Linked DNA regions of Xenopus tropicalis. The protein of the gene in region 1 purifies or fractionates together with the protein of each later gene. This does not show direct contact. Links are inferred from orthologs where the notes say so. Each region holds a gene or a part of one and is shown in the gene's direction. Other genes may lie near its edges.

Region 1 (6,334 bases):
AGAACCGGTGCCGTCAGCGTGTCGCGGACATGCACACTTTGACATGTGCGCAACGTCCCGTGAGACAACGGGACACGCGCACGGGTGAGTACCCTGACACCCCGGTATTGCGGTATCAGAAAAATGAATATAGTTTTAAAAAAAAAAAAAAAACACCGGTATTCGGTATTAAACGGTATATCGCCCAGCCCTAAGAGTATAGTGTTACACATTGATGGCACAACCCCATACACCAGAGCAGAGCTGGTCTGGCCCACAGCCATGTAATAGTATCACTGCACTTCCTTCCTGTGTTAAAGCAGCAAATTGTAACATGTTAAATCCTCTTTGTAACAACTGAACATCTACTGTAAACCATTATCAAACAAATGTACTTTGTGCAAGATGTACAATGTAACATTTTCAATTTGTTCCAGACAAATTGTTCTCTAACTGCTTGCCATGCAGATATTAATGTGAACACAGATAAGTTAAGCTTGCTTAGTATTAATTGTAAATAGGTGAAAGTGATACATCTCATTACGATGTTTTACTATAGTGCTATATTTAATTTAGGATTGTAAACTGGCTGCTTAAGGGTGACTTGGCCAGTATGACAAGTTTCTGCCAAATACACCCATAGTTGAGGAACCCAGGCCTAGTTGAAGGCTTCTCTGATCCATCATATGCTATTTGTAGGATGGTGCAGCAGGTTTATAGGTGTAGAGAACTCACTGTGGCTAGTTCTTTAGATAATGCTTTTATCCAGCAATAAAGTGCAATCAAAAGGGTAAGTTATATTTATCTCACAATGTAGCAATTCTTTATGGCCAGTATTCAAGCCATCATTATTACATATTTAACCTGTAGTGGTTTAGATCGTATCCGAAACCTGGTCCCTACATCAGTGTTTTTCAACCTTTTTTGGGCAAAGGCACATTTGTTTCATGAAAAAAATCACGAGGCACACCACCATTAGAAAATGTTAAAAAATTTAACTCTGTGCCTATATTGACTATATATAAAGTAATTCTCTTGAATAGGAATCAAACACAAAGAAAGTATTTTCCGGGACATTTTCTCCACAAACCCACCCCCCCACTGATTTTTTTTTTTTTTTTATACACACAAAAATTTTATATTATATATATATATATATATATATATATATATATATATATTATTAATTGTTTTCTTACATGTCAGGCTGCGGCATACAGGGGTGTCCCGGGATTGTCCTCCGGTGGGGAGTAGGGCGGCTGTGCATGGGCCTGGCCCCTGGTGGATCTGGTCTGTCGGGGCAGGGCCTGGGCAGTTGCTCCCCCCGGTCGGGTTGTGCCAGGGCAGGATAGTGCTGCCTCTCCTCTCTGGTTGCTCCGCCCTCCTGGATCCGATGCCGGAGTGACGATTTCCGGGCATCAGGGAGCCAGGAAGTGGAAGGTGTCCCAGAGGGGACCGGGGGCGGTTGAAAAACGCTGCCCTACATTACTACAGTTTTTCAACCTAATCCTGTGGGCAGGCTAGCTGGAAGGACTGTACTGATTGCATTTTGTACAGCTTAGAATTGCAAAAATGAAGACGGATGGTATCTTCCAAGCAGGTGTAATAATTCATGAAACTTCATTAATGGAGTTTGCTGTTGGGGGCCTTGGCATTTTGTTTTTCTCATTAAGCATTTCTTTTCCAGTGTAACCTGTGTCGGTAAAGAACAGATGAAATATAAACAAACCCAGTGCAGAAGCTGGGGCGCACAGAATCCTAGTTTAACTAGAATCTGCCATTGCCAGCTACTGTCACTACACAATCCTTTAGTCAGTTCTTCATCCATTACAAAAATAGCATCACCAAGACCAAAAGACATTTATTTAGAAAGCCAACATTTATGCAGCTCTGTATCAAAACCTTTTGCCAAAGACCAGTTAGCTCTACTGCAGCCCCACTGTTTTTAATGTATCTGCTACATTAAACAAAACAAGTTAGTTGGTTTGGCACAATCTTTATTTTTTATTTTTTTTTGTTATAAATTATTATTGCCTTTTTCCAGAGCTGGGGTCCCCAACCTTTTTTGCCCTTAAGCCACATTTAAATGGATAAAAAAGTTGTGGAGCAGCACAAGAATGAATAATGTACCTGAGGGTACCAAATAAGGGCTGTGATTATTTGGTAGCCCCTATGTGGACTGGCAGCCTGCAGAAGACTGTCCAGTACACCTGGTTTTTATGCAATCAAAACTTTCCTCTGGGTCAATAATTCAATAATGAGCACCTTCTTTAGGCTATTGGGAGCAACATGTTGCTTCTGAGCCATTGGTTGGGGACCACTGCTCCAGAGCATAATCTTGAGGTGGTCACTTAAGTTTCCCATCAGATCGGGGACTACATTGGCTTGTTAATCCGACGGCCCATATACATATATAATAATTTGATTGTTTGGCCACCTTCACTGTGCTCACACAGAAATGATGGGCCCACATATATATCTAGTGAATGGACAGAGCTCTTTTATTTTGATATGCGTTATCTGTTAAAAATTAATTCTGATGAAATAGTTTTCCATTGATAATTTCAGCACAACCACCACACAGGCTTCCAGTTTAAAGCGAGTGAAGCAATTTGCTCACATCCCATAACTTTACAAATATATATATTTTTTCTTCTAGCCTTGGAGAACAGTATTACAAGGATGCCATGGAGCAGTGCCACAATTATAATGCTCGCCTGTGCGCTGAGCGCAGTGTCCGAATGCCTTTCTTAGACTCTCAAACAGGGGTGGCTCAAAGCAATTGCTACATTTGGATGGAGAAGAGACATCGTGGGCCAGGTAAAATATTATGTCCTGTAAGATTGTATAGCTTCTTAACCTGTCTGTTGCTGGCCCTGCATAGCATAGTGCTGCAAGATCCCTTTTGTACATTCCCATGTGTTTAAGAATTGACAGAAGTTGCAAGCCCCTGTTAATTATGCTTGCAACAAACTCAAGCAGATGGCCTTGATTTAAAATAATAACTGTGACACTTTTCGCAGAGCTGAAACTTAAATGATGACCATGAATGTACTGAGGACCTAGAATCCTTGCAATTCACAAGAAAAGTTTTTCAAGGGTCTTAATGTGTATATGGTTTAGACTTGAAAGTGCTCAGCCCTCAAAGGTATAACAGATTATGTGCTACTGAAAATGTACTTGTGTTATCAAACCATACTAATACCACAGAAATATATGGAATATTTTGAAGTTTATTATCTATGCCCAGGTAATTTCTTACCCTTGCCAGGATTTAGCATTTTAGATTTCAGGGCATTCTTCGGAAACCTACTCCAAACGTTGCTTTTTATGCTTGGACATTAATTTAAGTATCTATTCTGCAGGCACCAGGTTTCAAACCTTCTGTCCCTTAGTTACTAAGGCCCTTAATTAAAAATTGAAGTACTGGAAGTACTGGCTGTGTCATCAGTAAGGAAAGAGCATGTTCATGAGTTGGGCACAATGTCATCTTAGTTTGTGCCCATCTTTAAGTTTAATTTTAGGGGAGGGATACAGAAAAGGAAGAAAGAAGCCTACTTTTTGTATAGAAACACAACTGCAAAAGGAAGTTTTATCCCATACATTCTGTATAAATCCTCTATCAGATGTCTTTACAGAAAAGGGTTAAAGATATGCTGATTTTGATTATTGGTAATTTACTGAGGCTTTACTAAATGATTGCGTTTTTTTTATTCCTCCCCTCCCCCCCAAAAAAGCATTACCTATGTTTTGGTAAATTATTTTATTTTGGTTTTTAAGGTTCTGCACCAGGGCAACTTTATACATATCCATCTCGACGCTGGCGCAAAAAGAGAAGGGCACATCCCCCTGAAGATCCCAGGCTCTCTTTCCCATCTCTCAAACCAGGTAAAAGGGGGCAGGCTTTTCTGAGCCCAACATCACTGAAATCAAAACACTGCACTTAAGGGCTAGTGAGTTTTTTTTTCTTTTTGTCTTGTAAATACACTTTCCATACACAAAGCAAAAAAGGCATTTGTTGAGAATAGCAACACAGGGCCAGCCTGGAATATAGTTACAGTTCATTTTGTTAGTCATAGCCTTGTTGGCTTAAAACAAAGCGAAACAGCACACTTCTTCCACACCAATATTTTCAATTATTCAGTGCAAATTTCAACAGTAATCACGTGTTACAATATTTACCAAGTCCAAGTTTAGCCTTGTTTGCTTTACATAGCTAAACCTGCAGAATATTAATTGACTGTGCTAGAGGACATAGAAAATCAGTATAGTTCTTTGGTTCTTGTCAAGTAGCAGTAGGGCCTTGTTTCATGGCTTAATGGGAATTTCATTTTATTTTCATGTTTTGATATAATCGTGATGAACATTTTGGAACAAATATTTGTATACCTAATCTTTCATGAGATATATGAAAGAGGTGTCTGTAAAACAATTGGCAGGTCAAACCTTTGTTTTTTCCCCTTACATTGAAAATGTTAGGCAATAAAAAAGGCATTATTATATTTTGCAGACTTTAGATTTGTGGTAATTTTTAGTAAGAAAACCAACAGTCTTCCGATGTGTAAGATATATTTAGAGCAAATACAATTTCTTTTTAGAATAGCAGAACATTTATTAGACTATTTTCACTTTACCTCGACAATGGATGCACTATTAAAAAATGTTGAATGTGCATGATAAACAATGTCCATTGATTTTTGGTAATTTAGAGGAATCCAATGGAAAAAAGAATATATCTTTATCAAAACTTAAGGTTATTGTGCATTTCAGACCCCGAACAGATGTTAAAGAAAGAGGGCTTAATACCACCAGATGGCAGTAGCCTTGAAGCTCTTCTGCGTTCAGACCCCATTGAGAAGAGAATTATGCCAGACCCCCGGGATGATGACAGCCTTACGGAGTTCCCTCCTCTTTCCAGAAGCGCACGGAAGGTACAGGCCTACGGCGAGCGGCAGCGCTACGTAGCAAAAGGGATAATCACGGTAAAGACAGCGAGGCAGCATGAAGCCTGGGGGAATAGACAGCAGCATTAGTCTAATGTTCGCTATATCAGTTTCTGTGAGTTGCCTGTTTGGGAGGAAAACAGCATATGAATAATTTTCATTCTGCTTGCATAAACTAGTCTTTCTTGTTTGCTGATTTTTACTTACTAAATGATCCTTTACTAATGCTCATTGCACTGCTGTAAACATATCCTATGTGAAAACCTCCCCACAAAAGGTCACAATACAACTTGCTACGAAGTAGAGCAGGAAGGAGTATTCCGTAAATAATCACCTGAAGTTTTAGACTTACAGAAAGGGTTGTAATAATAATTTTCTCTTTTAAATATATACTGTGTGACATTTTCCTGTGATATTAGATTATTGGTAATTTATTTTAGTTGCTTGCTTGTGACATAACTAGGCCAAGTAAAGTGATAGATGACTAAAATCATACTGGAAAAGTATTTGTTTGACAGAACTGTATCATGAACCTTGACAAATGGTTGCCATTTCTAATATCATAGGCTTTTAGATTCTAAGCCGCTTGGGCATTTAGTCACTGATGCATGCTTAGTAGCTGTTGGTAGCTTTATTAATCACGGTGCCTAGTTTAGAAGTTTTTGCACAAAGGGTGTAATGCTTAATCTTTACTATATTATCCTTGTAACACCTATGTCACATGGGGTATTTTGACCACCAATGCACTCTGGTGGTCAAAATGCTTAAAATTTAACAACCAGGATAAATCTAACTTCAGCATTTCTGAGCATGGTCTTCTGTAACCATCTCTGTCTGCTATAGGTGGAATGTTTAACATGTGTCGCTATGGAAAAAGTGGTGATGGCTGATTTTTGGATATCGACCCTTGCAGTTCTCCAGCAGATGCTAAGGCACTGCAGTGGTCAAAATGCCGGTGACATAGGTCAAAATGCTTAGACATGGCAAGCTGCTTCCATTTAAATGTATACAGGATATGGTATTTTTTGCAGTGTTTTTCAGGTTAGAAGAAGTAGGATAATTAACCACAATCTGTGACTTGCCTTTCTTTACATTAACTGTATCCTTTTATTCCCCTAGCGTATCTTGGAGCCTGATGATTTCTTAGATGACTTGGATGATGAGGATTATGAAGAGGACACGCCAAAAAGACGTGGAAAAGGCAAAGCCAAGGTGAAATAGAATAATATAATAATAATGTGTTTTTTTCAGACCCAGTCATTGGAGACTAGTTTTCTTCTTGCTATGAAGGCAGGATGATCATGTATTAAATGGCAATTAAGTAGCAGAGCTTCTGTATCCAGCCAAAGGTTATAAAGAAAACTTTCTCAATGTCCTTTCTGTTTTGGGCCTATAGAAATAAGGGATGTCAA
Region 2 (6,334 bases), on another chromosome or scaffold:
GCGGCAAAGTAAAGGGCAATTGCATTAAATTTGATGCATCAGCTGCAATTGTGTAATGTTTAATGCCCCCTGGCATGTGCAACAGTGCTGGAATGCTGCATTATGGTAAAAAAAACACATGCCGAATGCACTGGAAATTGCACCTTGTGCACTGCACTTGCAGTCGCAAATGACCCCTCATAAGTAAACATACACATCTTAACCTCTTTTAGACAGACATAAATAAGAAACTTTGGTGAAATTTTAACAGCTTCTTTTAACAGGTTCATAATGCTGGGAATGGTGATGGAAAGCAAGCTAAAAGCAAACTGTGCTTTTTCATTATAAATGTCATTCAAAGAAAATAGATTAAAAATCTCTCATTTTGATTGCAAAAAGCAGAAGAATGTATAATTTTGTTCATAAACAGAAGCTTTGTATTCATTGTTATGTTACTCAGGCTCTGAATCTGACAGTGTTACTTGTGTAAAGCCTGCCAAGCAATTACATTCTCCTGAATATTACTTAGTTGGTTGCCAGGTCTAAAATTAAAAACAGTAGAAGTTCTGTGCGCTTTTCATTTAATATTTCATCCTAAGTTATATGACACACATGCATAAATACACATTTATGCATAGACACATATATTCATACATGTATATATTTACAAAAGCTTATACACATGCATATATACATATACACACATAAACATGCATACATTTAGTCATATAGCCATTTAGGATATAAGGGAAGTGTAGGGCTTTTATCTGGGTTGTAGACCAGTGAAAACAGGGGAAATTATTTAGAGGCAGTGTTCAAGGTTTTGCAGTTCAAAGAATCAACAAGCTATCATCATGAATCTGTATTAGTTAACATGAGTGGGCCTTTCCATCCAATAAAAACAACAGGAGCCACCGCTTATGTGCTAATTCAGCCAAACTTATCAAACTGCAGGAGACTGCAAAGTACCACACAGTGCAAATTGGAGATTGTTCCTACTGAAGCAAATAATAAAGTAGATGCCAGTGTGGTGTGCATTGCCATTTACTTTATTATTTGGTTTACATTCTGTTTCTGCTTGAAGTAGCAAAGGGAGAATTGCTTTTCCTTTTGCACTTTCTTAGATATCTTAAGACTTGTCCCTGTTTGTTATTGTTACTAGTGAAGTCAGACCCCAGTAAAGTCACCGAACACAAAAACATTCAGATCTGTTCAGAGTTCTTAAGCTGTTTCCAATATATCTGGTGCCATTGAAATGACTGGATGTCAGTGTATTAAGGAACAGATCCGGACACTTTTGTAGAGGGGTGAGACCATAATTAAATGCAGAAACTATATGATTGGGAGATGTCATATAGTGATAAAATACTGTTAAATCAAGAGAGAAGTGTACTTGTCCTGCTGGAAAGCATAAATATTTCAGTAGACCTACACTGAAAATGTTACAATAACAAACTGTTAACCTGCCAGATATAGCAGTATACTTTATATAAATGAGGTATAGAGGATTTATTTAACAGGTTTTAAATTACATTCAGAATACTTAGAAAACAATCATACATTACCTTTCTTTGTCTTATTTGCACTTGCTGGAGGAAGACTGATTTCTGATTGATTGATTGATGCACTGCTGCTATTTTTGGCATGTGCTCCCTAATCTTAACACCTGGTACTACTCAGGGCAAATTTGTTTCTTCTGTGCCATTGATTCCATGAGGCAAGTTAGAAAGAGATACTTACCTCAGTTGTCATTTTACTGCACTGAAACTGTAATTTGTTTTGTTTTTTAACTGGAAATTCAGCCTTTTAGTGTAGAGATCAATCTGTCATTGGGTCTGCTGGTCTTAGTGACCAGGCCTGGCTGCACTCCACATGCATCAATTTGGTTTGGCTGATTGTGGTCATAGGGCCAAACCATTGTTAAGTGAATGGCTCCTTTGGGAGGCAAATACTCTTGTACCATTGGTTTGCAGTTGGTCTATGAAGTATGTGGTCATGCTTCTACTTGGTGCATGAAAAAGCCACAAGCAGATTCCAAAGTAAAAACTGTCATAGTTCGCTACCCCATCCATTCAGATAAAATTGTTGGTAAATACAGATGGTCATATCAAACAGTATGTAATTCTGTTGTCCTTGTAGATTTACTGCACTGTTTAAATGTTTCTAGGATCCAGTTTGTGGTAGACTTGATTTATAAACACATGTGGTGACAAATGTTCGAGAAAATGTAGATGTATTTAACATGCATATTTATGATATCTAATGACTATATTTTAGGCTTTATATCTGCTGTGCAAAGGAACAATCAAATACCGCAGTATGGACCTCAGCATACTGGCCCACCGATGTCGCCTCATCCTCCTCCTCCTGGAGGCCAAATGCATCCTGGTATGGGCAGCTTTCCCCAGAGCAACTCAAGTGGCAGCTATGGGTCTCAGATGGGTCAATATGGACCACAGGGTAAGGTGTAAATGTCAGATTTAACATTGATGCTCAATGACAAAGTGTAATAAATGGGTAATAAGTTTAGTTTATATTAGAATATATATTTTTATTATGTTCAAACTACTTTAATCTTTAAGGCAAGAAACCAGACTTACTCATTCTATAGGTGACTCAAGTGCTTAGCTGAAAAGGTACATTTGAAACAACCTCAGGTCCTGTTTCTTTAAAACAATTAATGATTAATCTGTGATATGCATAAATTATATTAGTTTAGGTTTAATGGTAGAAGGTTTCGTTTTAGGTTTACTGATATATAAATTAAAATTTCCTTAACAAAGGCAGGCTGATAGTAGCATTGAGTAATAGGGGGAAAGCACACTTTTGCAGCCCTGTAATAAAATATGAATATAATTCAACAGATATGGATATGGCAAAGTTCCATTAATTGCTATAAGAAGTCTTTCAAAGTTGGAGTAACTTCAGATCCCATATTTTGTCAACTTTGGGCTAGTCCTGTAAGCAGACACTGGAATCTGAAGTCATCTTGGGTTGAGAGTAAGAGTATTGTGGTATAAATCATACTCACATTGACATCTGCTGTTAATGACAGGGTCAGCTTACAGGGGCTGCCCCCCAGACAGAAGTTCCCCATCTTTTTGCTAGGCAGCAGTTGTCTGGAGAGTAAAAGCTGGAACTACTTTTTTTACTACCTTACACCATCTTTTAGCAGATGTGCGATCCTAAAATCAGTGGGGCTTCTAAGTGCTGATTTTAATCACTGCAATCTTGCTCCACTCATCTATTGCTCCTACAAGTTTGGAACAATTTACCATCTGATTAATTATTGCAGTTGTTTAGTTCTTGTTACAACAAACTGCTAAAACCTACAACAATACATTTCTCTGTGTCTTCTGCAGTGATTGTGATCATTTGAACTGACTAAATAGCAGTCATATATAACAATAGGCACTGCTCCTTTGAAAATAACACACTGGATTTCCCTTTCTTTTAATAGCAAAATGAACTGGGTGGAATAAAACTGACAGCTTTGATTAGAAGTCGCGCATTTTGCCTTGGGTGGTCTAGCTAACTTCAGTAGTAACTTATGAGCAGAAATGAATGTAGGCTACTTGTGCCCTGAAGCTTTTTCTTGAAAAGCTTTGTGTTATATATATATATATATTTTTTTTTTTTTTATTTTAACCTCTTCACTAAAGGTGGAATTGTCTACAGGCTGCAGCTCCTGCATTCCGTTTTCATATGCTATGTTCTTTTTTTTTCTAATTCAACAATAACCACATTTTTAATTTCAGGATTTTTTCTGAGGTGCTCCTCACAAATGGAAAAAAAGGATGGGGATAAGCCTATTTCATATTACAGCTGACTTATTAACACCATGGAAAATTGCATTACCAGACAACCTCAGATAGCATTTGGCAATGCAGAGCCATAGTTTAGTTTAGTTTAGTTTTAAAAGGAATAAATTAAGTTGTCAGTAGGCCCCACATTTTTTTCAAACTAAAAGTACTTTTAAGGCCCAGTTTCTTGTTGTTTGCTTCTTGAGTTTAGATCTTTGCCAGTGACATAAATGCCAGCCAGTCATTTGCAGTGAAATTATTTATAGGTTTTTTGTTTTTTTTTTGTATTAAAGGCAATTATTCAAGGTCACCATCTTACACTGGAGTCCAAAACACAAGCTACAGTGGTCCTGGCCCAGGCATCAATATGAATGCCAACAGCCAGATACATGGACAAGGGCCAAGTGGATCTATGAGTATGGGCAGGATGCCTGGGAATGCAATGCAGAACAGGACATATGCCACGAATATGGGTAACTTGCCCCCCAACTCTTCCAGCATGTCGCAGCAAGGAACTCCAGGAATGGGACCACCAATGCCAACTGTGAATCGTAAGGCACAGGAAGCGGCTGCGGCTGTGATGCAGGCTGCCGCAAATTCTGCCCAAAACAGGTTTGTTTCATTGATAGTATATTAAATAGCACTGAGTAATAAGAAGTGTCTTGTAACCAATCCAATAAGAATAGTTGTAGAGTGTGACACTCTCATATATTTTTGTTATCAACTAAGCAAGCAAGTTACCAAAAATTTACATTAATGCAGAGCACCTTAAAAATGAATTAAAAATAGCTCAGAAACGAAAGGGGAAAAACTTGTCACTGTCCCCACAAATAGCACAACATATATACAAGGGAATAAACCTAGGCATTGGTAACTAGAAAGTGCCTACAAAAAATGACATAATACATACAGGAATGCAGTAGTCAATACAATCATTTAATTGTGGTCACTCGCTGGTTATAGTTAATAACAGTTGCCATTGGTCACCAGCTATAATCTATGATAGACACATGATATAGATCACTACTAGCAAAAATGTGCATGCTTTTATACAATAACAGATTATTATTTAAATGTTCCTACCTGGTTTGAATTCCATAAATAGTACCATTATTTTACGGTCCTTCAAAGCTGGCATCACCATTTCAAGTCAATAGAAAACATTTTGGAAGATTTTGGCACAATAAGTGATGTAGCTGAATGCATCAATTAATGTAGAATTTTAACTGCTGGCTGCTTTTATGCCAGAATTTACACTTGGTATTACTGTCATATAAATATGCTTACTTTAAAACAGTTACCCTAACCCCTGCGCTTCTTAACCATCGGCTGACTTGCCCTGAGGTTGGGCAAGGAGCTTAAAGGCCCAACCCCTATCTCTTCACCTGATATAAAAGATGATGTCAGGGAGGGGGAGGGCTGTGGTAACGCCACATACAGTACTGTGCAATGGTGACCCTACCCAACCTGCACCTCTTTTACTGACCTCTTTTAGGAAGCCTTGGTCCTTGAATATACTAGCCGTTTAGGTGGCATCCTTGGTGTTTGCAATAAGGGAACAATGTATAGTTATATACAAATGACTTCATGTACAAACAAAAATTTCCATTTTAGGTCCTTTAGCTTTTGAATCCACATAAACGTATGTTTTTTGACAGTCAGTATTAGGTAGTTTCAGCAAACTAGCTGGTCTGTGCTTTACAGTTTATATAATCTATATTTTCTACCAGGATACTGCTATGTTTACGTCATTAGTGCATAGTATATGTATATTGTATCTACACGTATACAAATGAGTGAGAGCTGAAATATTATTTCCTTTATATAAAGCTGGGCACAAATACTGATAAAATTAGACACTTTTATCAGTTTGACTTAAACTAGTTTTCATTCTGATTTTTCTGCCTGTCTGCTAAGGTGATTCCAACTAAATATGCTGGTAAATATGCTCAGATGAAGATTGAAGGGGGAGTGTAATTACATATCAGCTGAGCATATTTACTGACTTTACTGCCTGATCCAGTCATTCAGGTGACTGCCAAAGGCCTGGCATGGATCCTGTATCAACCCTTCAGCTCACAACATGTGTTGCCAAAAAGGTAATCTATTATGCAACCACGCTGGTGCCAGCCTCTAAGCATTCCCTTAGCAGCATCCTCTTATGCCTCAAAACATGATGTTATATTTATGGTATTCTTTTATCAACAATGGGCAAATTTGCCCTATTATGGGAAGTGATATGGCAGTTCTCTTTCATATATATACTTTTGAATTAGCTGGCAGACCCCTAATTGATTTCTTTTATTAATTTCCAGAAAAACAGAAAGGTAACTTGTACTTACAAATAGTTTACCTCTAAATGCCTTAGTGAGCAACTCTCCCACTGTGCTGGAAAGCAGGATCTGTAACAGTCCTAGAATGAGGTCTTCATGAGACTCAATGTGGAAAATTAGGACATTACATTGAATATATATATAAACAATTCAGTTTCTGCCGATGAGACTAATATTTAGTGCAAGAAAACGGTCACATGCTTATGTTGTAGGCGAATT

Evidence for each region.
Region 2: the proteins of dpf2 (region 1) and arid1b purify together in Homo sapiens (affinity purification with mass spectrometry; 7 studies listed by BioGRID and IntAct, counting the BioPlex papers as one, with this or other methods). This does not show direct contact. The link is inferred for Xenopus tropicalis from reciprocal best matches to the Homo sapiens genes DPF2 and ARID1B.

What each region holds. Positions count from the first base shown.
Region 1 is NC_030680.2:32,337,340-32,343,673, reverse strand, and holds part of dpf2 (zinc finger protein ubi-d4), read left to right. Parts: intron 1-28; exon of another isoform or gene 29-43; coding exon of another isoform or gene 44-84; intron 85-2,638; coding exon 2,639-2,799; intron 2,800-3,759; coding exon 3,760-3,867; intron 3,868-4,749; coding exon 4,750-4,910; coding exon of another isoform or gene 4,911-4,961; intron 4,962-6,041; coding exon 6,042-6,134; intron 6,135-6,334. UniProt on the Homo sapiens protein: Plays an active role in transcriptional regulation by binding modified histones H3 and H4. Is a negative regulator of myeloid differentiation of hematopoietic progenitor cells. Might also have a role in the development and maturation of lymphoid cells.
Region 2 is NC_030681.2:52,263,918-52,270,251, forward strand, and holds part of arid1b (AT-rich interactive domain-containing protein 1B), read left to right. Parts: intron 1-2,256; coding exon 2,257-2,439; intron 2,440-4,075; coding exon 4,076-4,394; intron 4,395-6,334. UniProt on the Homo sapiens protein: Involved in transcriptional activation and repression of select genes by chromatin remodeling (alteration of DNA-nucleosome topology).